2 linked regions of the Oreochromis niloticus genome follow. The protein of the gene in region 1 interacts with the protein of each later gene in a pairwise test. Links are inferred from orthologs where the notes say so. Each region holds a gene or a part of one and is shown on either strand. Other genes may lie near its edges.

Region 1 (15,876 bases):
CAAGGCATGGGCTCCTAATTATCAGGCAACACACAAATGTGAGCACAGATATCAAAAGGGTTTGGAGTTGCAACATGAATATATTAGCACTGGAAATAAAGGTGCACTGAGCCGCCTATACGGCAGTCATTCAGTGTGCAATAAAAATGAAAAAGCATGAAAAAGGAACTTTGAAAATGAGGAGATGCAAAAAGAAATGTCGCTTTTTTACCCCACAAAGCATGCCTACAGACTCGAGCATCATGCTGCCTTACTCCTTGCAGGCAGCAGTGCAGGAAAGAGTCAAAAGACATGCTGCTGATTCCATGATCCGTAGAACAAGCTGAACTGAGATTCAAAGGAGCACTTTGTCTGTCTGTCTGCACTGACCGAGCACACAGAGACCCTCAATAGTCCCAGTCATACAGTTAGTTTCATAAGCGTTTGGACAACGACTTTTTGGGGGGAATTTATGCCTCTGTACAGCCCACATTGGATTTGAGATTTTTTTAAAAATCAAGAGGTGATTGGAGATGGGTTTTCACCTGTAATTCAAGTGCTTTAACTAAAGTACTGGATTAACTGTTTAGGAATTACAATTGTCAAATTAAGCAGGAACTTGCATTTGGTATCACTGGAACTCTCAATATGAGGTCCAAAGAGATGTGGATGCAAATGAATGTAAATACAAATCGTATACAACAAGATGAAAACTGGTTATACTCAAGAAGAAGAAGGCCAGACTGGAGTTTGCAAGAAAACACCTAAAAAAGAGAGAATTTGTTTTCAGATGGAACCAAGGTTAACTTCTACCATAATAATCGGAGCAGAATAGTATGGAAAAACTGAGAGACAGCCCATAATCTGAAGCATACCATCTGTCATGGTGGGGATAATGTTATGGTATGGGCATGTATGGCTGCCAGTGTAACCGGGTCACTAATGTTTATTGATGACGTGACTGCTGATAAGAGGCAGTAGGATGAATTATGAAGTGTGCAGGGCTGTGCTCTCTGCTCAAATTCAGCCTAATGCTGCAAAACTGATCTGACAGCTCTTCACAGTTCAGATGGATAAATACCCAAAGCATACTGAAAAAGCAACCCAGAGTTTCTCAGAGCAGAGAAATGAGATATTCTTCAATGGCCAAGTCACCTCATCTCAACCCAACAGAATGTTTTTTAGTTACTGAAGACCAAACTTAAGGCAGAGAGACAAGCTTATCAAGGGAGGAAACACAACATGTGGTGATGTGCATGGGTTCTAGACATCAGCCAGTCATTTACTGAAAAAGATTATTATCCAAGTATCAATAACAATCTTTATAGTTAAAAAGTTTCCATTCATTTTGAACTTCTAAATATTGGGGACTGTGTATCAAACGTCAGTTAAGGCAATACTTTTGAATTAAAGCTGACAGTCTACACTTAAAAAAATCTTTATTGTTTGAGTTCAAGTGTTGTGTACGGAGGCAAAATCCCAACCCCCCCAAAAGTGCAGTTCTTCAAAAACTTATGGACATATGTGTATTTCAGCTTCTCCTTTAGGCATCTCTGACTTCACAGCTCTGTTACGAATCCATTACTCCACCCATGACCCTCTGAGCAATGGTGTTATTTTTCAGGTGTTCTCTTTCACCGTATGACCTTGTGGAAACGGCTCTATTACTATGCTCTTCTTTCAAACCCATCTGTGCATTTGGGGCTTGAACTTCCTACAAGTTGTCCTTTCTTTACCGGAAAGACAAAAACTGCACACACAAAAAATGCTAAACATGGATTATATTCAAAGACATGTGCATGTAAATTTATTTAACTAACTGGTGGTATTTTATGAAGAAAGTTAAGTATTTGCCTTTTGTGATTGATGTGGATGATTGAAATTATAACTCTATGGTTCACTATGATTTCCTGGTAGCTGGTATAATAATAGATTTCTAAATTGAGTCTTTTGTATGTCAGTGTTTAAATGAAAGCCCAGTTAAAGTTGTAATGGTCTTTGGCTCTAAAAGCTCTGGCTATTACATTTAAGTTCATAATGTATGTTTTACAATATCCTTAGCTGTACAAACAGATGAATACCAATCACTGAGTACCACTTTTTAATGATGCTAAAGAAAGAGAAAAAAAGGGGAGCACACAAACGGCCTATACTGAGAGCTGAGGTCGATAGGAGAGCAGCTGGGCAGATGGATTCAAGTGCTCTGCTGCATTGATCCGAAATGACGAGGGCATACAATTACTCTAAGAAATGTTTGGTGAATCCACCACTCTTTAAAAAAAAATCACTTAAGGCCACCAGGACAATTGTTATTGTTCCAGCAGCCTCTGTCAAAAATAAATCCATTTAGAGGCAGTTTAAATAAAATCTATCCCCATTTAGACAGTAGCTGTTGTACAGTGCTTGTCTTCCAGTGTATTGATTCTAGCTTTCCTGCTTGGATGAAGCTTTATGGATGAATAGAGAGAATGTGGGAGGATCCAGACCGAGCGTCTGCACACCGCTCTCTTTGGGTCAATTTAGGGTGACTTTGAAACGGCAATTCGCTTTTAAAAGTGCGGATGCAGGTAGGAAGGCAAGCTGACAAAGGCTACTATAATTTACACGCCCACGCACACAAAAAAACTAATGGTCAATGCTCGTTGTGAGTGCCTTTGTTGATAGTAATTCTAATCCCGAGAGCACTTTCGCACTACGCCCAGGGATTACTCAGGACTCTCTGCTCAGCGCTAGAGAGCTGGTAAGATCAGATACATGGCATCATGTTTCACATGTTGGCTTTGAATTGTCTTCCGGGTGAACACATGGGATCTAAAGGCATTAGAAATGATGACTTATTGATATAATGAGTGCACTAATGCTTTTATATGGTCCCTCTGCAAAAGAGCTTCTTGAGTTTGGTCTACCACACCTTTATTTGTCCTTATATGCCTCAGCATTAGGTAACAGGTCCAGGAGACTGTAAATCCAGATTACACATTATTAAAACTAGTGCCAACTCAGAAGGACTGTAACCCAGGTTAATTCTTTAAAGCTACAATTTACAGGTGTCTGCTAAATGTGTCACACACAGACAAGCTGAAAATTATGGTTGTGAAAAGAGGACTGGCATAAGGATGCATTAATTGAATATAAACATTGTCGTGGAGAACGTGGCGATTGTGGATGCCACTCCTCCTACACACAGAATGGAGTAGTCAGCAGTCAATATACGGGAAGCATGGGTAATAGACAGCAACTTGCAGCCAGAATATAATATGGGCAATTATGCACGGAACCTCAGGTTCATCAATGCACTTGCTCGGGTCTTCAGCATTGCATCCATCAAGTTTGACTGAGTTATTGAGATTGCTGAAGAAAAGATGGACAGATGAACTATTATTAAGATATGTAAGGCTCATGCAACAGCAGAAAGACTCACAGCAGATACCAAATTAAAGTTAACCTTAAAGGAAAGTGTCGTCTATCATATTTTTACTTTTTCCCATCACGCCGGCCTTTTGAAACACCAGCCTTGTCATCACAGCCTCACCTCTCTAACCATTAAGCCCCCTTCTTTCTTATTTTATCTTGCATCTTTATCATCTGCTCTGAAAAGACCTTGTACTGCTTACCCCCTCCCCTTGGGAACAGCTCTCACGGCTAAAAGCACTGTGCTGGCTTATGCAGTCCACTAAGTGCTTTTTCTATCTCAAAGATATGGAAAAGTCCCAGCCAGACATATGCTGTCTCATCCTTGTCACTGATCTATGCTAAAAGGAGAAAAACGTGAGTCTAATCCACCTATCAGCCACTGGATTGGAGTAGAAAGTTTCTTATGACCGATGTGCTATTTCAGGTTGTGATAAAATGATGCACCAGGAGGAGTTATGAAAAAGTAAAGGCAGCGTCACTGTTTGTGTATCTTATGTGCTCAGTTTTTTTCTTCACTGGCAGAAATCGGGCCCAAGCTATCAGAAACACCATCTGCTAAAGAACAACCTAAACCCGACTGTGGTGTTCTTGCAGCACATCAGACCTGGTCAGAGCTCCTTCCGCTACTTCCTTTTCTCGTGACTCTTGAAAATTTTATAGGATGGGAAACTTTTAGATCAAAGAGGTTATCCGATCCGAGGATAAGGTTCTGCCCTGTGGTGATTTAATACGGCTGAAATCAGCATTATCGGGGTCTGTGGGTACATCAGAGCTGTGAACATGATTTAGAACAGGCATGGATTGATTATCCGGAGAAAGATACAGCTTCCCGTCTCATTATGCTCAAAGCCAAAAAATTCCAACCTCAAAACTATATTTTCAGCAACGCAGAGAAGAGAAAAAGAAAAGCATGAGTGGACTTTTAGGAGTGAATGTCTTTGACAAAGATCAGACTGGACAATAACATGACTACATAAGACTGAAACGTCCTCTCTGCCCTGCTAGATGTGATGAGATCTGCACTGTTCCCACCAAGAACATAAGTGACAAAGTGGATTACTTCACTGGTATGGATACAGCTCAATGGGAGTCCAAGGAACAGCACAAAGCTATTCTTTTCCTCTTAGGAACCAAAATAAAGTGTGTGTGTGTTTGTCTGCATGCACCTACCCATGTTTGAGCCTGTCTGGCACAGAATACCAAAAAGTAGAGCAAGTGCTCTGTTTACTTCTTCTAGAACACAAGGCCAAACGCTGACAAGCCAGTTTAAAATGTCACACCGACTTGCTTTAAACGCTTCAGCAGTGTTTCTGTGTGTTTTATGTCAATTTTCCAAACGGTTTTCCAACTGCACAATTCAGATTTGAATACTGTCATGGACAACTCCGTGCATCAAAGGATTAAAGTCCAATTTAAGCATTCAGCTATGCTGTTGTCCTTAAAGGATTTACCAGTGGTTACATGTTTTCTTTTCTGTTTTGGAGCAGCTGCTGCAGAAGCAGCAGCAAGTGAAATGTGAAAAACCTGAGCAGCAAGGAAGAAAAACTGGGCAGCTCTTTTTTTTCCTTCTTTTTTTAAAGCACAAGCTCATGAATTTTTCAGTGGATTGGTGAATAAAAGTGCAGGGCTCTAGTTTTGCTCGCCAAGCGAACAGTGAACCCTGTTAAGGATTAAAAATAGCAGCATGAGCTGAGCAGTGCTGAGGAGAATGATGACGGACCCAGAACCAGCGTTATCTTATCACAAAGTCCAGCATCCAGCAATGTGATGACATCACTGACACTGTCCACGGAGGTGCACACAAAAACTGGGATGCATCATGTAACCCCTCTCTCTTTGTGTGTGTGTTTTTTTAATATGCATAAATATAAAAGACAGACAACAACCTCCCTAAAGTTCCCAAAACCTTTCCAAACTCATCTAGTTTGTGAGTTATTATTATTATATTATATTATATTATATTATATTATATTATATTAGGTTCTTTCATGTTTATTCATCTATATTAAAAACGTGTCCTCTCTGTTATCCATTCTTTTTTGTATTTTTAGTTTTGTAGTTTTGTTACTGGACTAATGAAATCTTATGCTTAAGGATTAAGCTGTTCTCTTTCTATCCAGACACTGGCTTTGTAAGATAAGGGGGCTTTAGGCCTGTAATCTGTAGCCTCACCTTCTCAACAAGCAAATATTTCTAATATAGTTGTAGACCAAGCCCACATGTGCGAGATGATACAGTAGTTATGGGAGTGAACAGGCCATTCAGAGTTCAACAGGCTATTTGGTAATGCCTTCATCCCAGCAGATTCTTGTCTCCTGAGCGGAAAACCACTCGGTCATGAGCTATATGACGTTTCATAACTATAAAGGGCTGTTGCCGAGTTTAGTTTGGAAATATGTCTGCCATTTTTCCCCCTACGGCATCACTGAAGTTGCTTCCTCTCGGCTTTGTTTTTGTTTTCGAGCTCGGAAGTTTTATCCCAGGCTTACAGACAAGCCGTCTGTCGTAACGCTAAATCTCTGATAAATGCTCTCGCCCGCGTCCCTCACACTGTATTTATTCACACCGTAACATCGTCCTGTTACCTTCTGAAAAAGAAGACACGTAACGTGGCTAGACTGATTATAAACTGTCACATATTTCAGCATTTAAGGGCAATAAGTGCAAGCTTTACCTGTAGATGCAGTTTCCATAGCAACGGGAGGCCTTTTCCCGTCGTCCTGGAAAGGATGAAATTGTTGATCCAGGTCGCCCAACGCGTCGCCGCCTCTCGGCTTCAATTCTTCGCGCAGCTCGCCGAAGCGGCTCTGTGTGTTCCCAAACAGGCCGTTCCTCTCATAGTCATCCCCAAACCACTTCCCCTCCGAGCCTAGCTCCTCACCGGGCTGCGCAGACATGCCTTTTTCCTGTCGTCGGACAGATGATATTATACTAGCTACACAAAGCTGCTGCCGCTTCTCTCCCTGCCGTAATCGTTTGCGCTAGGATGTGTGACGGAGAAAACCGCGCAACAACAACAACAACAACAGTGCGGCTCCTGGTTGGCGTCTGTCAGCTGAGACCGGGGTTTGTGGACGCCACAGATGAGGCGGTGCGGTCGGGAGCGAGAGGAGAAGGAGAAGGAGTGAGGTTGATTGTTTTAGTTCACTGCTCCGACGCTGACGTCATGGTGTCCGCGAGCCCTTACGGCTGGCACCACTTTATTTGGGACACAGTCAAAGATCAAAAAGGTGTTTTCGGGGTATAAATGAGGTCAGAGGATTCAGTCAAAGCAGTGCTTGGCGTTGGTTTGTGAAAATAGCGACAGTTAGCTTATTAAAACTGGACACATGGCCTAAAGAGGAGAATAATAAAGATAGTGTCTTAATAACGCGAAAAGAATATGTGGGTCTTTTTTTTTCAAAAGTGGCAAAAATTCCTCATGTATCCCATGGTAATGTTTTAAATGGAGAAATACTTGTGTGAATTTTATGGTTTGATGGTTAAAAAAATGTACCTTGCCATATGGCGCCCTCATGCGGCCGCTTCTAATATGAACAGGACCTCAAAAAGTTTCAGTTTGTCTTAGCAACCAGACGCTCTTGCCTGGATACAGACTGATGGATACAGACTGATGGCTAACACTGGCTAAAGCAATCAGCGAGGTTTGCTGCTGTTCAGTTCTCCATGGAAAGTAATTTTGATTTAGATGTACACTAAATTTAGCCGCCCGATATTTAAAAGGTCCTCTGTCGTACTTACACGGATAATATTTACAAGCACAACGTTAGAAGCTAGCACAGCTAGCACTGATGTGTGGTGACTTTTCGTGCTCTTACTTGCTGACCTCACTTATTACAGGTAGGTTTACCTGTACTAACTCTCTACTTTAATTTGTCCGTTCGTTTTCTCTCAGTAAAAATAAAGCAGGGTATTTTCAGCAACATATTTTTAATTCACTGCAGCGATATGTTGTCGAATGAGAAGCAAAAGAACCGCAGTGAAGAGGAAGTGATCAAAAAACTGGTAACAGTCACATAAATATTCAGTTTTGAATACGTATAAAAAGTCAATGGGGGTTTCTCATATTTACTTATTTCTTTATTGTTTTTAATTAACAGTGCATGGCTAATGGAGTGCCCTATGAAAAAATTGCACAAGAGGGAAGCAGCATCACATCACTGGAGATGTTCTTCTCTGGTTTCCCCCGCATGGTTGGCCTCTCCTTCTTCCCAAGGCTGTGTCAACTTACCATAATAGGCCAGAACATAGAGCACATTGATGGACTTGAGTGCTGTCCTCTGCTTCAGGAGCTCTGGATAGTCCAGTGCCATCTGACGGTGTGTTTGCTATGCTGATAAATGCTGATAACAACAACTGATGATAGCTTGAATCATTGCTGTCGTATAGAAATTTGGCCATGTGGATGCAACTGAAGATTCTTCAGTAATGGGTCTTTTTCACCTATAAAATATGAAATATTAGTTCACACCACCATTGAATCGTGTGTGTGTTAAGCATAATTATCCCCAGCTGACAAAGACACACATGCAGATGTTCCTGCAGGCAGGGTGATAACTATGAAGGAGCTGGAGTGAAAAAGGAGGAGGTGCATGGATACACTGATTTTTTGTCTCAAAAAGTCTGAAAACCGTGGAAGAAATATGCACTATATGATCACTGACATGAACAGGTGTCACGTGCACATTTAAGCATGTGTGTTTTGTGACACATGCATCAAACAATCTATTTTCTCTTTATTGCAGGAAATATCTGGACTACAGAACTGCCTGCAGCTGGAGAAACTGTACCTTTATGAGAACAAAATCAGTGAAATAAAGAATCTGGACTTGCAGGTCCACCTAGAGGTGCTGTGGATCAATAACAACTGCATAACTAAGATTAAGGTTAGAGCTGTATCTCCTTGGCTTTTCTGTGTTTGTAATGCAAGATTTTTAAATATTCAGCAGAAGAAAACTGCTCTTTTACACACACTGTGCAAAAGTTGTGAGCCTCCACTCATTTCTTTATATTTTGCTAGGAAAATGGGAAATACAGCAGGTGCAGCAATTTATTGAAACATGCAAACATATGATAATATATGTCAAAAACAGAGTTTGTACAATTCTGAAAAGTGTGAAAGTCAATATTTGATATGACCATCTTAGGGTAGGGTAGGTAGACCTTTACTGCAATGGTACTGTGTTTGGGATCATTGCTGGAAAATGAAGCAGTTGCCAATGAGATACTTTGCAGATGGTATTGGATGGTGGCTCAAAGCCTGATGGTACATTTCTGCCTTAATAATTCCATCAATTTCAGATGGTGTAGATAGTTTTTTAAGGTCTCCCTTTTTCCCCTCCACTTGTCTGGTTTTCTCAAGTTTTCTCTTTTTTTTTTTTGTAAAGAACCAATTTAAAAAGTGCTTAGAGACAACACTGGTTCCTCCCATGAGGTAGGTGCTTTTTTCAAATACTTGAACGACTCACGGGTCAGTGATGAGTGGCTAAACAAGCAAACATTGTTTTGAAAATGATCGGGTATAAGGACTGGACTGAAAAAGAGTGAAAAATCAGCCAATTTCCAAAGTAAAACTTTGAAAGACCTTCAGAAAGGCTTAACTTAGTCTCCACATGCGGTTGTTGTTGTTTTTTTCTCTTAAAGGGCTTGGACACACTTCTAGACCTTAAAGAACTAAACCTTGCTGACAACATTATTGAAAAGATCGGTATGTTCTCAGAATAATTTGTGTTCAGTTTGATGGAGATTCGGTGAGCTATGTGAAAAATAACGATGGCAATCAAATAATTTTTAACTTCTTCTAAGGGCACAGCCTTGATCCTAATGTCAACCTTCAGAAACTCAATCTGTCTGGAAACAAGATCAGCTCCTTTAAGGTGAGATTCAAAATGAAAACATGCTTTTGAAATACTTTCTCTAAAAACTTTTCTTACTTATTTTGTAAAATCTTATTAAAATCCTTGGTCTGACAAAAGGGCATTTCTAAATTCTTGGGAGAATGCCGGGGTCTCGGCTAGTTCACATTTTCAATCATTTCAACAACAGGCGTGCAACGCAAGACCTTTATTGAGGCATTGAGCGGCATAATTTCAAATTTTTTTTGCCATTCCTCATTCAATGATATACATTCATGAATGCGTTTATTTAAATAATATATCTTGGGAGACTGCCTAAGAGTTTTTCTGTTTTTAATGTGCAGGTTTGTGTTAGTTACACATTTTAGGCATGCTTCAGCTGAGACGCGCTTTCACAGCACATGTGAATATTGTTTTTTCAAGGACATTTTGACAGGAAGCACAAAAGGTTTTGTATCTCTGTGTCTGATTGGTTTAACACCTCAGATCTTGCTCCTGCAATCCACCTTTAGCCCTAACCCAGCTTATTATCTTATTCAAATCTGTGGCTTGACAAAGGGCATTCCTGAATTCTTGTGAAACGTCGGGGTCTGGGTCTGTTCGGATTTTCAATCATTACAACAATATGCTGTCTCAATAAGACCTTCAATAAGGTATTAGGCAGTATAATTTTGATTTCTGCCATTATATGTTTAGTGATATACATTCCTAAAAGACTACGTAGGTTTTCCTTTTTTTTTTCTCCAAGTTGGCAGTTTTATATTATACATTTGATGGTGTACCTGCCAGGCTCATTCAGAAGACTCTGATCATTGTTGTTCAAGGTCATTTTGTCAAGAAACACAGAAAAGTTTTGTGTGCCCTTCTCTGATTGACGTAACGCCTGAGATCTCCACCTTTTTCTCTGCACCTGGCTTGTTATAAAAAATACGATTATCACCATTCACTCTAAAGACCCCACCGTAACTGCAGGATCAAGAAAAAAATCTCGCCACCATGTCAATACAGCGTGACATCTCTTTTTTTAGCTCTTCTTAAGTGTAGGGAATGTAGAGAAGAATAGAAGTGCTATCGTCAAGATGATGTATTGAAACATCCATTTCAGTATGCAGCGATCAAGACAGTTTCTTTATAATTACTAATATTCCAGTGACTTCTGGAAATGTAATTTATCATATAGTGGGGGGAAAATATATGCAGTGTCATTGTCTTTGTTTAAAATACTTTAAATTTTCTGTTTCTGTTGAGAACAAAAAAATAGTGTCCTTTAGGGTAAACGTACTTAGGATATGCAGAAGCTTTGCTGTCCTAGTAAGTAAATAATATTTATTTAGAAATCACATGTAAACATAGCTTTCATTGACCAGGTTTTGTACAAATGATCTAATCCTATATACATGCAACCACGTGTAATTACAAACATCAAATAAAAAAGTAAAAATTGAAGACAGAGTACAGATTAAAGGGCTAACAACAAATGTGCAGACACATAACGACAACAAGCAGAGTGGAGCTTAGTGGACTGGAAAGGTCAGAGAATAAAGGTGGTTTTGAGCCTAGACTTAAAAGCAGAGATGGGGGGGGGTCTTTTTATGTCATGCAGTAATTTGTTTCACAAACGTGGAGCAGCGGCTGCAAAGGCTCTGTCACCTTTTTGTTTGAAGCATGACCTTGGGATGTGTAAGAGATCTCTGCCAGTAGGATCGGAGAGATCTGGGAGCTGGATGTGAACAAATGGGATTGTTGATGTAAGCTGAGGCCTGCCCATTATAAGAGCCTTAAAATTTGACCTTGAGTCTTGAATCTTTTGCTGTAACAGGAGTTGAGCCACCTTGCCCGACTGCCCCGTCTGAGTGAGTTAGCATTGAAAGACCCCACGTCAACCCCAAACCCGGTGTGTCTCCTTTGTAACTATGAGACCCACATTCTTTACCACGTGCCAAGCCTCCAGCGACTCGACATCTATGACGTCTCCAGCAAGCAAATCAAGGATGCAGCTGAGGTACTGATACGATCCAAGATCTGCAGAACTAATTGACTGGTTAAATCCCTTATAAGCAGCGATGTCAAACTCAGCATACTTTGATGTTAAGTGGGTCTTACGAGTGAAACTCTTCCGATCTGTCGGCATAAAGAAGTTTAGCTGCACAATAAAAAAGGTGCAATTTTAACGATACATCTGAGTTTTTTATGCTGCTTTGGGCTTAAATTGTTAGAAGTAAATTTGAAATAAACGTTTGGTATAAAATGGAATTTCTTTTGTTAATTGACAGAATGTCTTTTCTTCTTTGTCTTTGAATACATACATAAATATTAATAATATATTTTTTAAAAAACCCAAATTTCTATAGTAGTAAAAAACAGTAATTTTCTGTTATTTGTGTATTATTTATTTGATTTGGTGTTTATCTGTATTAAAAGCTGCAAACCTTTTAAAAATACAGTTAAAACTTTATGTAAAATTTATGTCCTCCTTCACATTTTCCAGAGCCATTCAGTGGGCCAGGTTGTCTTTGGTGGGCTGATTCTGGCCCCTGTGCCTTATGTTTGACACCCCTGCCTTATAGTATTTCTTCTAGGTTTCTATAAAAACAAGCTATACTTTTTAGTGGATGTATTTTCTTTTCTTGTTTTTCTTTCTTTTTCCTTTCTTTACTTTGTCACATTTGATATTTTTGTTTTATTTAACAGTTATATTTGATGCATCTGTTATTTCGTTTTAGCCTGAAATAAGAGTTGTTTTATTTTTCTTTTAGTCTGCAGTGATGAAAAAAATGATGTACTACAATATGCGTGTACGCACAGCTCAGAGGAAACTAGCAGAGACCCGGCTCAGTCTGATAGAGAGGAAGAAAACTCTATCGCAGTCGCCTGAAGAATGCATCAAGACTCTCACTCGTGCCCTTAAATTTGTACGTACTCTCCATAAAATGTCTTTTTGTAGCAGCTCTAAAAAGCTTCAGGTGTTTGTGTGCACAGAACGATTATAATTTGGATGCATTTCTAGCTCGAACGTGAGCTCTCCGTGGGGCCAGTTAGTTGCAAGAAGCCTGCCTGCCTGTCAGAAAGCGTAGCAGAAGGGCCACCCCACCTGGATGAAGGATTAACAGAAAGAAATGAATCAATCAGTGACATCAGTCAGGATCCAGTCACGGAGCACAAAGTACACGCTAAGATTGAAGCACTGAGGGAACGACTCAAACAGTGGACCAGGAGGCTAGATGAGTGAGTTTGCATCTTTCATGAGATACAGAGACAGTGTATTATTGCTTTATGTAAATTGATCTCTTAGGGGACAGCACAGAGCTAAACTGTACTTTTAATCTGAAAAATTGATGTTCCTCATCTTATATTCAGGATTCACATCTGGTACGAGCATGATTTGGCCCGTGCCACGAACAGGATGGAGTATACGGTGCAGTTTCTACTGATGGAGCTAGAAAGTGTTGGAAATATCCGTTTGGAGGAGGGCTGCTCCACAGATCCTTGGTACTTTTACTGTTCAGTATCATCCACTGTAACTGTAACCACTGTGCAATTCACAGTAACAAATGGGAAACATACTGTCCTTCTGTTTTTTTTGCTCCGACCGACAGGTTTACTTCTTGTTGTGACCTCCTGCTTTCCCGCTTCTCTCCATCAGACTACAAAACATATGGCATCACTGATATTAGGGTGGATAGAGTTATCTGCATCCACAATAGTGCACTGAGACTTTGCTTCGAGGACAAGATTCACAGTTTACTAGCCAGCGAAGATTTATCTTCCCAGTAAGGCTCGAAACAGAATGAGCAGATTTTAACGACTATGTTAAGCCTCATACTGTAACACAATTCTTTCTAAGCAGGAATTACAGACGTCAGCTGGAGTATTTATTCTACGTAGTTGACCCTGAAAAATGCGAGAAGGATGAAACTTTGCAGATTCTCCAGGAAGGCTTCAAAACAACAGAGCAGCAGAAGGTGTGTGTACTACCAGAAAGGATGCACTCGCTCCTATCACACATATTTATTCCACTAACAATTAGGGGAGTAATTGAAGCTAATTAGCCACACATTAGTCAGTTTACCACTCAACACCTGCACACTTGTACACAGTGCAGTAAACGATATGTGCAAAAAGAAATTAGTACGCTCATTTATGGAGCAGATTGCAGTGAATACTAAAATGAGGGAAATTGTGAAACTTTGTGTGCCTGATTTGTGTCTGTGTGGAGAAGTAACCACATCAGGGTTACAGAAGAATGTGCTTGACTTGTGTTATTCTCACGCTTTCACTTTTACACCATGACTCTCTAAATTAGGCCAATGGAAAAGAGGGTGCTATACCTTTTTCCAATAGCCTGAGTGTGAGCGAGCGATCCAGAATTGAGTACGCACTTCGCCAGACCAGCCAAGGTTGTACTAAACACAGCATGGATACGATGCCCTTCAGGCACGGTGAGGTCATTTTACTGATTTCATTATGTTTCTGCTGTTTTTTTAGAATCTAAACTGCTAATGCTCTCTTGCTTGTAGGTCAGGTCATTGTTTCCAAAGTGTTCGTGGGTAAAAGCATGCCCATCCGAGATGGAGAACCGGTGGACAGAAGCAATTATCCTGGAGTTTACTCTGTGTATCGCAGTGTGGAGACAAAGCACAGATCTGCAATGAGTGAAGGTATTCACTGAATTAAAAGGAACAACAGCAGTTGCCTTTTATGTAATTGTTGTTGTTCATTTCTGCACTCCCTATTATTTTTACATCTCTGTGTCCTTTTCATTCAGAACGACCCGGCTCCACCAAAACACACGCTGACCTTGAGTCCAGTCCCCGCCGAAGGCAGTGGTTTGTGTTTGACCGCGAGCTTGTCCTGCCCGAGTACATCATATATTATGAATACATCACTCAGGTAAATTATCGCGTACATTCCTTTGACTGTTACAGATGAAACACAATTGTTCTCTGTGGAGGTGTTTCTTCATCTTTTAATATTTAGATATTGAAAAATTGCTGCATTATTTAAAGCGATAACATGCCTTAATCTCAGTTTCAATGGCTATGGTTTAGGAAGTGCAGGTAATTCAGTAATCACAAATTTGGTGATGCCCATGTTTCTCGTGGGCAAGGTACTGAACCTCAGCTAACCTTCAATGCATTCATCGTGAATTGGATGCCATAGATCAAGCACTTAAAGTTCCTATTCAGAAAAACTGAGGGCAGATCTGGAGTTTGACTTTTGGTTCTTCAATTATTGACATGTAATGTTTTTACTTTTGTCTGTACAGAGCAGGTCATTCATCTGCTGTCTGTGACAGATCTAAAGTATGAGCCATCATTATTTCTAAGAGTCAGCTGCATTGGTTGGAAGCCTCTAAATAGATGAAGGACATTTTTTATTGAGGTTGGGGATCAGACAGCTGAGCTGCACTTTTCGCGCTACATTCCTTGGTTTGATGGGTTTGTTTTCATGTGGGAAACTAAACAAGAGTTTAGAAACATGAAATTGCAGTTGTTTGTGCAGGTTATGTTTCTGTGCATGCCTTATGATGAGTACAGTGGCTTGCAAAAGTATTCGGAACTTTTCCACATTTTGTCACATTACAGCCACAAATATGAATCAATTTCATTGGAATTCCACGTGAAAGACCAATACAAAGTGGTGTACACGTGAGAAGTGGAACGAAAATCATACATGATTCCAAACATTTTTTACAAATAAATAACTGAAAAGTGGGGTGTGCGTAATTATTCAGCCCCCTGAGTCAATACTTTGTAGAACCACCTTTTGCTGCAATTACAGCTGCCACTCTTTTAGGGTATGTCTCTACCAGCTTTGCACATCTACAGACTGAAATCCTTGCCCATTCTTTGCGAAACAGCTCCAGCTCAGTCAGATTAGATGGACAGCGTTTGTGAACAGCAGTTTTCAGATCTTGCCACAGATTCTCGATTGGATTTAGATCTGGACTTTGACTGGGCCATTCTAACACATGGATATGTTTTGTTTTAAACCATTCCATTGTTGCCCTGGCTTTATGTTTAGGGTCGTTGTCCTGCTGGAAGGTGAACCTCCGCCCCAGTCTCAAGTCTTTTGCAAACTCCAAGAGGTTTTCTTCCAAGATTGCCCTGTATTTGGCTCCATCCATCTTCCCATCAACTCTGACCAGCTTCCCTGTCCCTGCTGAAGAGAAGGACCCCCAGAGCATGATGCTGCCACCACCATATTTGACAGTGGGGATGGTGTGTTCAGGGTGATGTGCAGTGTTAGTTTTCCGTCACACATAGCATTTTGGCCAAAAAGTTCCATTTTGGTCTCATCTGACCAGAGCACCTTCTTCCACACGTTTGCCGTGTCCCCCACATGGCTTGTGGCAAACTGCAAACGGGACTTCTTATGGTTTTCTGTTAACAATGGCTTTCTTCTTGCCACTCTTCCATAAAGGCCAACTTTGTGCAGTGCACGACTAATAGTTGTCTTATGGACAGATTCCCCCACCTGAGCTGTAGATCTCTGCAGCTCGTCCAGAGTCACCATGGGCCTCTTGGCTGCATTTCTGATCAGCGCTCTCCTTGTTCGGCCTGTGAGTTTAGGTGGACGGCCTTCTCTTGGTAGGTTTACAGTTGTGCCATACTCCTTCCATTTCTGA
Region 2 (15,800 bases), on another chromosome or scaffold:
TAGTATTTTACCGTTTACGAGTTTTGCAACTTAACTGATGATTGAACTTGTTGACTTTGTGACAATAATTTGTCACGTTGCTGTACCTTTGCACCTTCACAATGACAAAATAACGACATTCTGACGATTTCATTTCATTACATGGATTTTTTTTTAAAATAAATTAATGACGGAATTGAGAAAAACGTCTTCACTTGTTCATTGCCTATATTTTTTTTTTCTAAACGACAATCAGCTACCTGAAGTCCTTCAGCTGCTCATGTTTGCATTTTTTTTGTTTATCCTAAAGCTGCACAGATTTTATGGACAGAAGCAAAAACCAAGCGGCTGCTTTCCTGTAGTGACTTACAAGGCTCAGAAACTGAATATAATTCACTTTTCACATAAAGATGATTCTGGAACTGAAGATTAGTTTCAGCTTAAGTCTCTCTGTGACTCCAGAACCAGAACTGGACGGCTTCAGCTCGTCCAGTCAGAACCACCCATGCAAGATTTTCCTCTTTTATCTGAAGATTTTTTTTTCGTTTACTTCCAATTAATGGAATTGGATAAAAGTCGTGATAATCAGAAGATAGATATTTTACTCTGAAAACTGTGCAGTCCTCCAGCCCTGGCTTTCCAAAAACCGCTGAAGAAGAGAAGGCTTTGCAATAGAAAAACAATGAAATCTGACTTTTGTTCTTGTGATGTGTCAATGTGATGAATATCACATTTGAGACACATACTGCAGTCTCAAATTAAGATGTTAAGAAATTATGATGGTCTGACAGCACAGGGGACTTTCAGAGTAAAACGTCTGTTCACATTCACGCCTATTTTATGCCCGTCATCACCTTCCATGCAAAATAATATCAGCCAATCAGGTTGGAGTATTGTGTAGTCCTCTGTCCTGATTGGCTCACGGTCTTCCTGTTTACCTGCTCTGATCAAAGACCAGATGATTCAGTGCATGTGTTGCTCACATATTTCCTTGCTTCCTGCTCTCTCATTGGCTTGTTCTGGCGTCTTTTAGCTTTTAGCACCAAAAGAAAGATAAATAGTTAAAACACGCACACACACACGCACACTTATGTGCACGCACGCACACACACACACACACACACACACACACACTCTTCAGTTTTTCCTCATAAAAAAGAAAAAAAAAATCCAAAACAAAACATCAGTCTCTTCCTCTCCTCGCTGTAATGAGGAGGTGAGGGTGGAGGTGGGGGCAAATGTGGCCCATCACCGAGGTAACTAGACGTCGAGGATCTCCTCAGCAGTGCCTCCGCAGCGCAGTCGGTAGCGTCCAGTCCTCCAGCTGATGGTTGGGTCCCACAGAGCCGACAGGAAGATCTGCACCGCCATCGACTCCCTGATAAACCAGGCGACTGCAAAGTCGAGCTTCGAGAAGCACAGAGGGCCGCCCTGTGGTGATGTCATCAACCAATAATCAGGCACATTTTTTAAAATTCTCCTTATTTTTCAATTTCATTGAAATGTATTAATTTTCTTAAATTCGTTTGCATTGTTTTCCATTTAAAAAAAACAAAAAAAACCCAGCTTTTAAATTCAATTAAATGTTTTTATGATTATTTATTGAACTGAACCTTCATATATTTTAATCCTTGTGTTCCAGTTTTTAATTTTTTAAATTTTTTAATGGGCTTATGTTTTTTTTTTAATTTAATTAATCTTACTTACTAAACTGTCATCTTTTCTATTTAAATACAGGCAGAAAATTAACAGAACATTAATATTTTTCATATTATTCTTAAATCAAACTGAAAAAACATCTGTAATTGAAAGCTTCATATTTCTGTTTCTGAATTCTTAAAAATGAAAAAGTAATTATTGTTGAAAAAAAAAAAAAAAAAAAGTCCTTTTAAATTGGAAGTATGTGATATTACCTGCACTCCGGTCAGCTGGATGTAGTCAGATATAAACCAGGCGAGACAGTGACACATGAAGAACACCATCATGTCCCATCTAAAGCGTGCACACACACACACACACACACACACACACACACACACACACACACACACACACACACACAGATCAATATAGTTTCTCTGGATGATGTCCAGATGATAAATCTTTAACTTGTTGTTTGGTGATTGAGGCCAAAGAACAAAAACGCCCAGCCAACCGATGACCTCATCCCTGTGTGGTCGAATATGTACCTGAACACGTAATGAGCGGCCCAGCCGATGATGAGACTGGCGAGGAAGCATTCGGAAACAGGCTCAAGCACGGTGCCGGGAAGCATGTTGATCCTCAGCTTCGTCCACCTGCAGACATAAACCTTGATTAATATCAGCTGCTTTGAGGATTCAGATCAAAGAGGCGATTCAGAATTATGAGTCGGGCTTCAACTGCTACAGCCATCCGTTAGTCAAAAGGCCACGCCCCTAATAATGCTGCTAATAACTAATAAAAACTAAATGCAAATAACTGTTTTTAGTTTTCAGAATTAGTGAAGAAAATAAAGAACACAATAAATGTGAATAAAAAAAAAATTCTTGCTGCATGTCATGGACCAAAAAACTGGGTGAAATGGAGGGAAAAACATCATTAGTCAATCAGTAATGAGCACTGAGGTCACCTGATCATGCGGGACTGGAACTGGCCAATGGAGTAAGACCCAGAATTCTGCAGCGCCACCTGTGTCGCCATTGAGAATTTCCAGCCTCTGCAGAGAGAAAGGGTAACTGTGAAGCGATGCTCTGACAGCAATATCAACAGGGTGCTAATGCTAATGTGCTAACCTGTCAGCGATAGCTTTAGCCATGAAGTAATCCTCAGCAATGTACTGGGCAAAGGAGACCAAGCCGCCGGCCTGATCCAAAACATCCTTCCTCATCAGACATGACATCCCCGTCACGCACTTTATCCCTGTCACATTAGCCGAGATGTATGAGCGGGGGTGAGATGTCCCAAAGTACACCTGGAAACAGGTTAGTGTTAGCATTTGTTAGGATCAAGACAACTAAAGAAAAGAATTCCCATTATATTAGTGTGACTTTACCTGTTCCAGTGTGGCAGCGAAACCTTGGCGGTCGGCAACGTACGGCAACCCATGTACCAGTCCCACCTTCTCTGTCATCTGATTGGTCATATCTGTCAGGGTGTCGGGTTTCACTGCAACACACAAACACAAAGGGAGTTAGCTTTAGAACCAACAATTAAAACAATGATAGCCATCACATCAGTGGTGAAGAACTGACCTCTGATGCCACTGTCGCAGATCCAGACCAGGCCATATTTGGCTCCTTCATAGCCCGGCATCAGGTTGTTGATCTTGGGGTTAATTCCAACTTTCTTCCCCCCTGAGAACCAGAGACATCACATGCTAACGTTAGCCACTGACAGATGAAAAACATGTAAGACAACAAGCATAATTTAAAGTAATTTTTTCTCACCAATGAATAATCGAGCGTCTACATTCGGGTATTTTCCCAACAACTTTTTGCAGACATCAACAGCTGGATCATCTTGATCCTGAATGCACAGCAGGATTTCAAACTGTAAAACCAGATGTATCAGTTAGTCCAAGGAGCGGTACAACAGAGGACAGATGTTTATTATTGGAGCTCAAAGGCTGGTGAATGTTACAGGGTAGACTGAGGCAATGGAAGGTCAGTCTGTGGAAGGACGGGGATTGTAGTCCAGGAGAGTGGGATGGTAATTGGGAATGTAGGGTGGGACAGTAGGATTCTTGGTAGTCAGGCAGTCATTATAGGTTAGTTGGGGGAGTACTAAGGGGTAATTATCTGGGTTGGGAGCATTTAGCTTCACCTTTGGGTAATCCAGAGTAAAGAATGTCTCTAGGTTGGAGATCAGGTTCGGGTCAACTCCTTTTAGTGGCTTCAGCAGAGAAACTCCAGCCAGCTGCATGAACGGCTGTTTGACTTCTGGCCTTTTCTTGTGGAGGTGAAGACGTCTGAAAGAAAGAGGTCAAAGGTCAGCAGGTAAAAAAAAAAAATATCAAAGAAACATTTGAAAAAACAAACAAACAAAAACATTAAATTTTAAATCTATTTTGAGTCTCTGGGTTTATCAGGAATGTAAATCTGCAGCACCTGGTTGAAAAAGTTCCTGTTAGTATGTCCTGACTGTGATGTCTCATCGGGTTAAAAAAAAAAAAAAAAAAAAAGATTAATTCATTCATACAGATTGTGTTTTGTCCAACGTGTGACCTTTGATTTATTTCAGTGTTTTATTTTATTATTAGGAAATCAGTTTGGCCAAAGGCAAGGTGAAGATTTATAGCTCCAGGTTCTATTTAACTTTATTGTTGTACTGGAAAGGAGCCAGTATAGTTTCCTGTATCAGACCTGCTCCAGCAGCTTATTTTAACTATTAAAATTAATGCAAAGTGTTCTGGTCCAGGGAGGACAATGATGGCCTTTTAACTGGAAGTACAAACATGATATCCAGACTGAGGTTTTCCTAGTGAGCTCAAACTAAGCCTGTTAAGAGATTTTAGTTACCGAAATAAAAACAAGAACCAGACATTCAAAGAAACAAAAACTGGGAACTAACTGAACCAAAAACACACATTTACAAAATGTAAATAAATAAATGTACTTCATAAAGGACACAAAGAGTTCCTCCCTTCACATCACAGCGGTCGGCGATCCTGTAAGAATGGATCGACAGGTGCTGGAGAAAAAAGCAGGTGGAGGTGTCTGTATTTCTGTTAATGACAGACACTGCAACAGCTACACACTATCATACTGCTGTGAGGATACCGATGTTCTGTCCTTGTCCTTTAGACCCATCTATGGAGATTGGAAACTTTTTTATAGCTTATTTATATTCATCAGAGAGCAAATACTCGGGCTGCAGCAGAGATAAGATACAGTAAGGTGGGTAGGTTACCAAATGTTCTTTCCAATACCCTGAAATCTCTCCTGAGGAACTTCAGAACATCCTATCAGAAAGAAGAGGAGCCTGGATTTATATTTTAGCAATATAAACGAGACACTACGGGGTTCAGAACACTTCTCTACAAACAGCAGCAAACCTGAGCTTCAATCAGTGAGATATGAATAATGACAGTGCACTGTCTGAGAGAAAGTTACAGCATGGGACATCTTCATAGGGTCTACAAGTCCTGATAAGGAAAAGCTTTGAAACAAAATTAAGATTTTTAAAAGATAAACTATGGGTAGCTGGAGAAGTGAAAGTAGCAGCGAGGAAGCACAAAAAAAACTGTCTGCAGGGGAACAAAAGGCAGCTCGCTTCTTTCTCCTCAGAAAGAGGAAATTAGACAAATAAACAAACAAATTTCACACAGACCAGAGTTGATATTGGGGAACAGCTTGACCCTGGTAACTGTAAAAGCAGAGGAAGTTTTAAAGACTTTTAAGAAGATTACTATTAGAAAAGCAGCAGTAGGAGTGAAAGAAGCTGGCAGATCACTGTATGTTAGAGTGAAAGCTGCAGTATCATCTATTGCCACTACCACAAGGGCCCTCCAGGGTGTACTGCAGTACATCTCCATTCATTACTCTGTGAATGCAGTACATTAACTCATCTGATGTCTTTAATTTACTGAAGGTACAGCGATTGGTGGTTTGATGAGAGGAGATGAAACAGAGTGTGTTACTCTGTGTTTTCTCCAGTTGAACACAGAAGAAATGATTTTTGCTTTTAGAACGAACGGGACGGCTTTGAATCCTTTACAGAGAAGGATTACAAGGTTTGTACTTGATGTGGAGACGGTTGAAGGTGGACAGAAGTACAGTGTGTGTTTTGTACAGACCTTAATAGGTCTGTAAACACTGCAGGTTAGGAGCAACATGGTATGATGCAACTCAGGGAGTTCCAAGTGCTGGAAAAAGGTGTGACATCCTCAGCGATGTCTCACACCCTCCTCATGGTGAATATATCCTCTACCATCAGGACGGAGTTACAAGGCACCACCCTTACAAACAGCTCACACCCAGAAGTCTGTGGTACAGATGTACATACATATACATATACATATACATATATGTGTGTATATATATATATATATATATATATACATATACATATATATATATATATATATATATACACACATATATATATATGTGTGTATGTATATATATATATATATATATATATATATATATATATATATATATATATATATATATATATATAGATATAGATATATATATTTTTGCCAGGTCAGGTGCTTCCTTTAAGACCTGCAGCATTAATTCAGTCTGCCAAGTCTAAATGGGTTTAAATCTAAATTTTAAGTTTAAATCATTAAAACATTTTTTAAGCTGTAAAGATAAGCTCCACAAATTCCACAACACCAAAGCACATGCTCATTTTCAGCTACCCTTATGATGCTGGCACAAAGGTATGGCTTTCCATCCATCTACAATGCTTATCTTCTCCCCTTGCTAAAAGTTAACTGATTTAGTCATGCTCCGTGTACAGAAGTATAAACATAATCAAAACCCTAGAAAATCATGGAATTAAAAAGTAAAAGATAAAGCGGATTACAGCCGAATTAAAGAAAGGCTCATAACACTTAAATAAAACACTAAACATATACTTCATAATGTGAGGGAAACGCGCCTGCTGAGTGAAAATACTAAAATCCTATTCTTATTAAGTGAGATTCTGCATTAAGAGGAAGCACGAAATTAGGTGCGTAATAAGCTACAGAAACGTCAGCTGAACAATTACCGCCATTTAAAATATTCTCTACGAGGAAATACGGTTACTTCAGGTTCCTTGCTATCGATTCACGGTTTATAAAACTATAATTAATTACGTGATTTAGTTTACTACAACCTGAAAGGACCGCAGTAACCGGAATATCCCGTCCGAGCTAACATTACCCGGCTAGCGGTAACCAGGAAAACGCCCGAGCTAACCGTCCAGGCTGCACATTCACCTCCTGTCATACATCCACAAACCCGTCCCCAGGAGCAGGAGGCAGCGCCTTATTTCTGAGTTTAACCCCATTCACACATAATCACGCTGGGACAGACAGAAATAAAGGAAGGAGCTGTGCCGAGGCTAGCCGTTAGCCACGTTTAGCATCGCTCCGCGGTGCACTCACACATAGATGATGGACATCAAGTGCATGAGCCACAGCACGAAGAACAGAATGAAGCCGAACACGGCGAGGCCCTGCATGGCGAGGTCCAGCAGGGCCATGGCTGTCAGCGGAGGCTGCTTAGGAGGTGGGCCGGCTGGAGTCACACGGGCTCGGGATGGAGACGACCAGCTGACCGGTCACGGAAGACAGGGAGAATCCGACTGAGATAGCCGCGACTTTGGCGTGTTTAGGCCAACAGTTGCACTTCTGGATCACAGCGGAGGGTGTCAGGTGGCTGCCCGAGAAAGAAGCTCCGATAACATGGCCAAAGCAGGGCTCGGTCCGGTGACGGTTGCCTACAAGTATCGGTGCAGATTCGCAGGGTTTGACAGTCAGCAGACCGACTCTTGGTCAGCTGACCGGAATAGCGGAGGGTTGGGGGATAAAATCTGTTACCAGGCTTCCGGGAAAACTTCAAAATAAATAAGTAAAATAAAGCTGTTCACTTAAAAACATAAAAAGCATTAGTTTTTATTCGTTGTTGTTGGTTAGGTTAGGTTAAATAAAATTTAACCTAACTTTTCTACTTCCTTGAGCGCTTTTATTTGTAGTAACATCTACTGAAAAGTTGATCTAGTTAATTTTTTGTTCCTGGTTGTGTTTCCTGTTTTGAGTTGCGGAACTCGGGAAATTCCCTTTAGGGGTAACTAAAGTTTGTTTATGGTGTTTTACTAATTTTAAGTATTTATTATAATGGTTTTTATATTTTTTCTGTTTAATTTATCTCTTTTATAACTAAAAAGAAATAACTAAATCCAAATATTTTCCACCGTTTGCTTCAGAAACATCTAATTTGTTAATACATCATTCATATGGGCCATGTGATCCTCTGAACATATTAAAAAAGGTTAGATAAAAGGTGAAGGATCACTTAATGATCAATGTAAAGGCTTCTCGGGCTCTTGTGAGAAACAGGCATGCATTACCTGATCAGGTCAGTCACAGCAACCCAATGCTTGCTTCATTTTCCTGAGACATTTAGCAATGGGTGAAATGAGAGGTGATGACCTGTGGAAACCTTTTCTTTACAAAAAAAAGAAGTCTAGTTTCACCTTCATCGGGTGACTCAACAGGTTCAGAGGCTGTTAAGTTTGATCACCTGAGCAGGTAACTTGAATGTCTACTACTTTTCACACACAGCCAGTGAAGGAAAGAGTGATTCACTGAAGGGTAGAGATCAGGTTTCGTTTGAGGAAACATGAAAATTTAAAGACACAGAAATGTTATCTCCTGCATTCTGCTGAAATTTTACTCCATAATTTACATTTCCTGCATTTTGTTGTGGAGCAAACATCTTTACTCACGTAAGAAAGAACAAGCATCAGTTTAACATAATCTGGAATACAACACAGTGACATGGTTACCCTTCCAGAAGACAGATTAACCCTGAATAATAAACTGAATTGGGACATAGTAACTGGATATACAAATGTAATATTCTGTCCAAAAATAACATCTTAAGAGCTTTTTTCTTCCTTGGAACTCAAACTCTTACCATGATTCTGACAGAGGTTTAAATGAGTTTTTCCTGTACTTATAAATCTCATAAACTTTGTTCCACTTTGGTAAACTGCAGCTGGTGTGCTGAATGCCAGAGTGTGAGCTACAGCTGTTGTGCAGATTTATTATCTGGTTCAGTGTTACACGCTTTACTTCATGTCCTTTTGTTTTTATCTCTGGTGACCGCGCGTGCTCTAGATTTCTTAAGCTTCTTGGATGACGTTGTTGGTTTCACTGGAGATTTGATTGTTTGACACAATCCCAAACATGATTCACATACAGATACACTCCGCCTCTGTAGCCGATCATGATCATATCTCACTACAGGAGTGCCTGCAGGGACATGAATGATTATTCTAAACTCCCGACAGTTAATATTTTCTTTGCTGAGTCAAACATTCAGACCTTCTGCTGTCTTTATGATCTCCTGGTTTCAGAGGTGACGACTGATATCAGGGCATTTTTATCCCTTTTGTTTGAGAAACCAATTAATCTACGATAAGTCCAATCATTTACGTCACACATGTGAGTATTTGTAAAATGTTTTTTTACGAAGTCTGCATCGCGTCTGTTTGACGCCCGATAACGAGGACAGGAAACATCTTCAGATTAATCAGTAAACTGACAGGAACAAATCTTCACCTCGAAGCACAGCAGTTCAGATCTTATCAGATTTTCAGCCTTTTGTCCTCTTTCTAGTTCACGTTGAGCACTTGCAGGAATTTTTGGTTCATATTTTGTGCGTGAACCAGACGCCCTGCTTCCTGCTGGAACACCAGCACACCGGACTGAACCTCCTCACGTGGACGGAGAAATCTTTAAACCTGGGTGCTTGTCTTCATCCAGAGGAAGATGATGTTTCTCAGTTTCATCTTAACTGCAAAGTTCAGATTAAAATGTTACCACCAGAGGGCAGCATTTCTTCAGCAGGTGTGTGCACTGCTCTTATTTATTTATTTAACCTTTATTACAGCTTCGGATCCTCCATCTCCCCAACATTTACCTTTCCCAGCCTTCCACTGTAGATACAAATATAATCTCATGACTTACCTGGTTTACTCAAGGTTACACAGATTTAACCTTAATCACTGCTCCACCTTGTGGTATAAATTGGTATCACATCAAATGACAGCACAGACACGCTTTACCTTCAAGTTGATAGCTCTTCAAAATAACACACAGATGTTTTGGACACAAAGTTTTACAGCAGTTTTTTCTTCACATTCTGATGATGGTTTTAGTTCATTTTGGAAGATTTTACAGCATTCGTACATTTAGTATCTAGCATTTAGTATCTTAGCACCAAAAAATTAACGTGACCATCAGACTCAGTCAACACAAAAATATAAATTTAAAACATGTTTTAAGCATTACATGATAATTAGTTTTTTTTTTAAATATTGTGTTTTAAATGAAGAGAATTAAGAGTTAAACTCCAAATGATCTAAACACATAATTATGGCTCCACCCACCACAAGTATCTGTGTTTTATCACATTTTTTTTATTCAGGTTTTCCCTCAGACAATGTGTTTTCTGGAGGTTTCTTCTGAGTGGACCATGAACACTCAGCGTTCTCCTTCCAGTTCGCCTCCTGCGTGTCATAAACTTCCTGTTGATCACAAGCACACAATCAATAATCAATAATCATTGAATGCTGCATCGATCGAGCTGATAAGACTGGCTCTGACGTCTCACCTTTTTCCAAATGGGGACATTAGCCTTCAACTGGCTGATGCAGTGCTGGATCGCCTGCTGGCCGTCATGGCGGTGAGGGGATGAGATCGCCATGACAACACTGGCGTCGCCCACCTTTACCCACCTGATGGGGGAAGCTATGTGTCATGTTTTTTATTTAAGTTAAAAAACAAATGTAACACCTGCATGCCCCCCCCGAACCTGCCACAGTTAGCATGTTAGCGCCCTCACCCGAGCCTGTGGTGGACGCAGATGTGTGTCACGCTTTGCCAGCGTGCTCTGATGTCAGCACACAGCTTGTTGAACTCTGATTGGGCCATGGGCTCATATGCCTCGTACTCCAGTCCAACCACCTTCCTGCTGTCTGCCTCATCCTCGCGAGTTGTACCTGTGCACACGCATAGTACGCACGCGCGCGCACACACACACACACACGCACACACACACACACACACACACACACACAAACAAAAACAAAAGTTTGTATAGCCAGCCATGTGAGGACTCATGCCTTCCCCCTCACCGACACCTGGTCCTGAACCACTAAACAGCTCTTTGTAGTCTGATGCACAGTGAGGAGCAGCTAGATGTCAAAAGGACTACTCATTGCTGTTACTGATACTGGTTGTTGATCAGGTGCTTTAACAAACCTCTATATGATTTTTTGTACTTTAATTACAAAACAATAATAATACTTTTGGACAATAATTGTAGAAAATATTAAGACTGAACAGTAAATCTGTCTGTTGTGTTTCAGAAATAAAAGCTGAGTATTTTAACCCACCGGGGTCGACGGACTCACCGTGTCCAAATCACACAACCGATTTAAAATGACATAGCAACAAGATGTTATTTTTAAGTAAAGTATTTTTATCTGGGTTTTGCAACAAATACTTCAGTTATTGTAAAGCACTACCCTGTAATGTATTACTTTAGAAAAATAATAGTATAAAACATACTTTCTTTGATTTTCTTTAAATAAAATAACTAGAAGAGCTTCTTAAAATAATAAAACTCCAGCTTTGTCATCAAATGTTTATTTTTTTTAACTTTTTCTTCTTTCTTAAATACTGACATTTCACACAATTTTCCCTGAAATGTTAAAATGCTGTATTGGAACAATAAATAAAAAGTCAGCTTTTATTTTTCTAAAATGCCTGTACACAGATGTAAAATATTTGAAGGAAAACTGAGAAGATAATAATTAGAAGTAATTCTAAGAAGTAAAATTTTAAATATTTGGTCAAAATCCCAGATTTTCTTTTCCTCTGCAGCATTTGACACTTTACATCAACAATCTATATTAAATATCTCACTTTCCTCTTCATCAAATGCTTCTGACTTATTTTCCTCTAAAATATTTAAAAAACCTAAAAAAAAGTTTAGAAATGTGATATATTGCTATTTATTTCTAGAGTATTTGTACAAAGATCGAACAATTCAAATTGAAAATAATTTAACTAAATAAATATTTTAAAAATAAGTACATTTTTCATGTTTTCAGTTAGAGTCATATTTCATTTTGACTTTTTCAATTCTAAAAATGATTCCATTTCACTGAAATAGAACTTCTTCCTCAGAATATTCAGTGATCCATCATTTGTACACAAATAAAAATCAAACCAAATAATCACCATAAAACAAATGTGATACTAACTCAATAATGCTGTTACATTTTATTTATATAACGCCAAATCAAAGATGCTTTATATTGTAAAGTAAACACCCCACAATAAAGTAAATGGGAACAAACCTATAAACACTGAAATGGCTCCACAGGAAGGGCTGCTGACAGCATCGACCACTTCCTGCACAGAGAGCCAATCATGGCTCAGCTTGAAGACATCTCTCGGCCCCTTCGACATCTTTGGGAAAAAAAAAAATGCAGTTTAGATTAAACTTTTGTCGACTCCATCCATCCATTTGCTTCTGCTTATCCTTTTCAGGGTCGCGGGGGGCGCTGAAGCCTATCCCAGCTGTCATAGGGCGAGAGGCGGGGTACATCCTGTCGCAGGGCTAATAGAGACACAGACACAGAGACAGACAACCATTTGCACTCACATTCACGCCTGCATTCACACCTATGTAAGGGAATTTGGATTGATCCATTAACCTATCCCCACTAACTGCATGTCTGCGGACTGTGGGAGGAAGCCAGAGTACCTGGAGAGAGCCCATGCAATCACGGGGAGAACATGCAAACTCCACACAGAAAGACCCCGGCCTGTTGGTGGAATTGAACTCAGGACCTTCTTGCTGTGCGGCAACAGTGCTAACTATCGTGCTGCCCTGGCACGGTGGCAACTTTTGTCAACTCTTTATCGTGAATTTATTGGATTTAAAGTCACAACAGGAAAATATACTTTTATTTTTAAATTGTGCAGTGAAACAGGAAGTGAAGAAGGAGCAAATACCTGAAATGGACCTTTTTCTTAATCTCTGATCAGTAATTACTTACAGTCTCGAGTCTCTAGCCCCCGCTGAGTGGCGGCACTACGGCGACTTCGTCTCCGTCTCCCAGAGTCAGCACCTGGTCGCCGATGGGAACGTACTCCTGACGCACTGCCAACACAACACCGTCCTGCAGCGTACACAGTCTGGACACACAAACGTGTTAGATGCTGACTCGTCTTCACACGCGTGTTTATGTGTGCCCCCCCGCCCGCCCCTCTTACCTTGGGTGCCGCTGTACCAACAGCTTCCAAAGGTCGTGGCTGCTGATTGGTGTTGGCACGGCAACAGTCTTCTCTTCCTTCACACCCGTCAGCTCGACGCTTTTAGCGAAGTACAACACGCACACCTGAAGGAGAAAAACTATGAATCCATCAGAGCATTTCACATTAAACAGCGAGTCCTGAGTCTTTCTCAGGGATTCAAACTTCCTGTTTCCTGTGTGGAGTTTGTTTTGTTTTTTTATTTATCTGAAGCTCACAGATTTTGTGTCAAAAATGTGCTTCATAATAAAACAGGAACTTCATTAAAAGATGTTTTTCAATCACATGAAGCTGAAAATTGAATTTTCCAGCTCAAACAGAAGACTTTCTTTACGATACTGTGGTGTAATGCTGAAGCTACATGTCCCAGGAAACCATGAACAGGAACTCACAACACTGCACATGTCAAACGTCTGGGAAATCTGTTCATGTGTTTATTGGATAGAAAACATCAAAAAGCTTTAGGATCAAAGCATTCCTGATAATTTTCCCAATCACCACCATGTACGTTTCTGCTAACACAGGAAAACTAAAACTGCTTCCTGTTTGTGTTTGGGGACACGATGAAGACTTCGTCCTCCTCCTCCTCATCATGACGGCTGATAATGAATGATGGTGGAAGATATTTACATCAAACTCAGTTTTTAACCATAAAATTCTGACTTTTTGCAGGTTTTTTGGCTTTTTTAAAAATCATTTTAGTAAATGTTTGTTTTTAACCAAAAACTGTCATTCTGAATTAATTACATACTTTATCCTCCAAATACTAAATATATATTTTTTAAGACTTGTCTTTTTTTCCCCCCTTAAATACCCTCTTAACTCATTAATTCCCCAGATTTATTACAAATTCTGAGAGTTTCTCTAAAGAAGCATCATAAAAAGATAAACAGGGGTCAAGGCTCATCCAATAAAGTCAATGTGGCCTTCAGCTGATTTCTACTGATACCCTTCAACTGTAAATCAAATTAATTCATACAGTTTGGTCATGAAAAAGTTAAACACCCACAGACTTCAAGCTCAGTTGAATTCGTGGTAACCAGCATGACTGAGGAGGCCAGAGTGGCCGAGCCTGTGTAGCCCAGACTCGGGGAAATACCCGTCATGCCTCTCTGAAGAGATCGTTCTCCAGCCTGTGCAGCTCATCTTAAAGCATGACAAACTCAAAAACTGCAAAACAAATGGAAACGTGTTGGGAATTTTCTACCCTCACCGTGAGCTTTACACCTGTGGCTACATTTCTGAGGTGTACTTTGTATACATCTTTGTAATTATGTATACTGGTTTAAAGTAGCTTGTTTATCCTTAAATATGCTGTGTATCTTATAAAGGTGGCCCAGAGATCAGGTTTAGTAATAATAAAGGACTGACTCTCATGTAATCTTGAAACTGAGTGCTGACACTTTTTTAAATAATAGTGTAATAATAATAGTAAAGTCCCTTTATCCAATCCACCCTTTAAAGGCGCTGATCCTGAAGGAACATTTTCTTTATTTCTTTTAAAATTAGCTTCAATTATAAATGAGCCTGAAAATTAAAGTTAAAAATCACATTAGGCCTTTGACGTTTACCGAAACTGTTACAGACGTGTTTATTTATTCAGTGCAGCTCGGATGTCTGAACATGACTCATTCTACTGTATTCACTTCTACATTGTTGTGTGTTCAGCAGCAGCAGGGAGGACAGAACACAGAGGCATTCAGGACATTAGAGCTGCCACGATTAGTCGACTAGTCACGATTACGTCGACTATCAAAATCGTCGACGACTGATTTAATAGTCGACGCGTCGTTTGAAGCTTTGTAAGATCACAAAAGACGCAGGAATAAGTAGTAGGATTTAAAAGTGTAATAACGGACTGAAACAGAAGATGGCAGCAGTGCATGTAAAGGATGCCAGCTGCCGTTAAACCCCGAAGAAGAAGAAGCTGTGTCCCAGAATTCATAGTGCGGCCCAGCGCAGTTGTCAACAATGGCGGCAGCTAGTTAGTTTTAATATTACTCTTATTATTCTTTCTGGGTCACAAAATAAACGTTTAACATATTTTCAAGCTGTAAGTTTTACGTCCAATCGATGCATGATCTGATTAGTCGACTAATCGCAAAAATAATCGGTGACTAGTCGACTATCAAAATAATCGTTTGTGGCAGCCCTACAGGACATGCATGTTCCTGGAAGTGATCAAACACCTCAGTGATTCCTGAGATTAGGGACAAAACAGGTTTTAATTTTCGAAAATATATTTTTTGATTTTTCAAAAACATATTTACATATTATTGTTACATAAAGTTTTGGCTGTCTCACCGTGTTTTGGTACAATTTCCCAGGTGTAACATTTTTTAATAATTTATGTTTTTGCTGAAGAAGTGCAAGGTTTTTGTCAACACCGTCAGACACAAAGAAATGCAAAAATATATATTTTAATTTAAGTTGTTTCAGCTATTTTGACTGTTAGCAGCTTCTCTGTTCTACTGTTTATGCACATATGTTTTCAAAGTAATTATACCACGTTTAAAAGTAAGATTGTTTTGGCTTTTTATTATTAGAGTTACAGTCATACATATTTTCAGAAGCTAGTATTTAATCTCTATAAGAAACAATCATATTTAGCAGCATGCAAATTACACATTTATTGAGAAAATTACTTATTTTTATTGGAAGATCATGAGGGAGGAAAATATATGGTTCTCCAAAAGAGAAAAATAAACAAAAAATCCATATTATGGAGTTGACAAGGTGCTGACACAAATCTGACGGTGGTGACACACTAGTAGAAAACAAGATATTATTT

Evidence for each region.
Region 2: the proteins of rtn1a (region 1) and ugcg interact in a two-hybrid assay, tested with the Homo sapiens proteins (2 studies listed by BioGRID and IntAct). The link is inferred for Oreochromis niloticus from reciprocal best matches to the Homo sapiens genes RTN1 and UGCG.

Annotation. Positions count from the first base shown.
Region 1 is NC_031983.2:11,748,212-11,764,087, forward strand, and holds the start of rtn1a (reticulon-1a), read right to left. Parts: upstream 6,546-15,876; 5' UTR 6,291-6,545; coding exon 6,068-6,290; intron 1-6,067. Other genes in the region: lrrc9 (leucine-rich repeat-containing protein 9), read left to right, coding at 7,342-7,398, 7,494-7,712, 8,139-8,279, 9,037-9,100, 9,199-9,269, 11,068-11,250, 12,005-12,160, 12,256-12,473 and 6 more. UniProt on the Homo sapiens protein: Inhibits amyloid precursor protein processing, probably by blocking BACE1 activity.
Region 2 is NC_031972.2:35,405,886-35,421,685, forward strand, and holds the start of ugcg (ceramide glucosyltransferase), read right to left. Parts: upstream 7,478-15,800; 5' UTR 7,159-7,477; coding exon 7,061-7,158; intron 3,929-7,060; coding exon 3,784-3,928; intron 3,511-3,783; coding exon 3,408-3,510; intron 3,315-3,407; coding exon 3,213-3,314; intron 3,127-3,212; coding exon 3,014-3,126; intron 2,933-3,013; coding exon 2,754-2,932; intron 2,678-2,753; coding exon 2,591-2,677; intron 2,277-2,590; coding exon 2,169-2,276; intron 1,972-2,168; coding exon 1,893-1,971; intron 1,411-1,892; coding exon 1,240-1,410; 3' UTR 1-1,239. Other genes in the region: molybdopterin synthase catalytic subunit, read right to left, coding at 10,102-10,209, 10,296-10,419, 10,527-10,683, 12,049-12,160. UniProt on the Homo sapiens protein: Participates in the initial step of the glucosylceramide-based glycosphingolipid/GSL synthetic pathway at the cytosolic surface of the Golgi.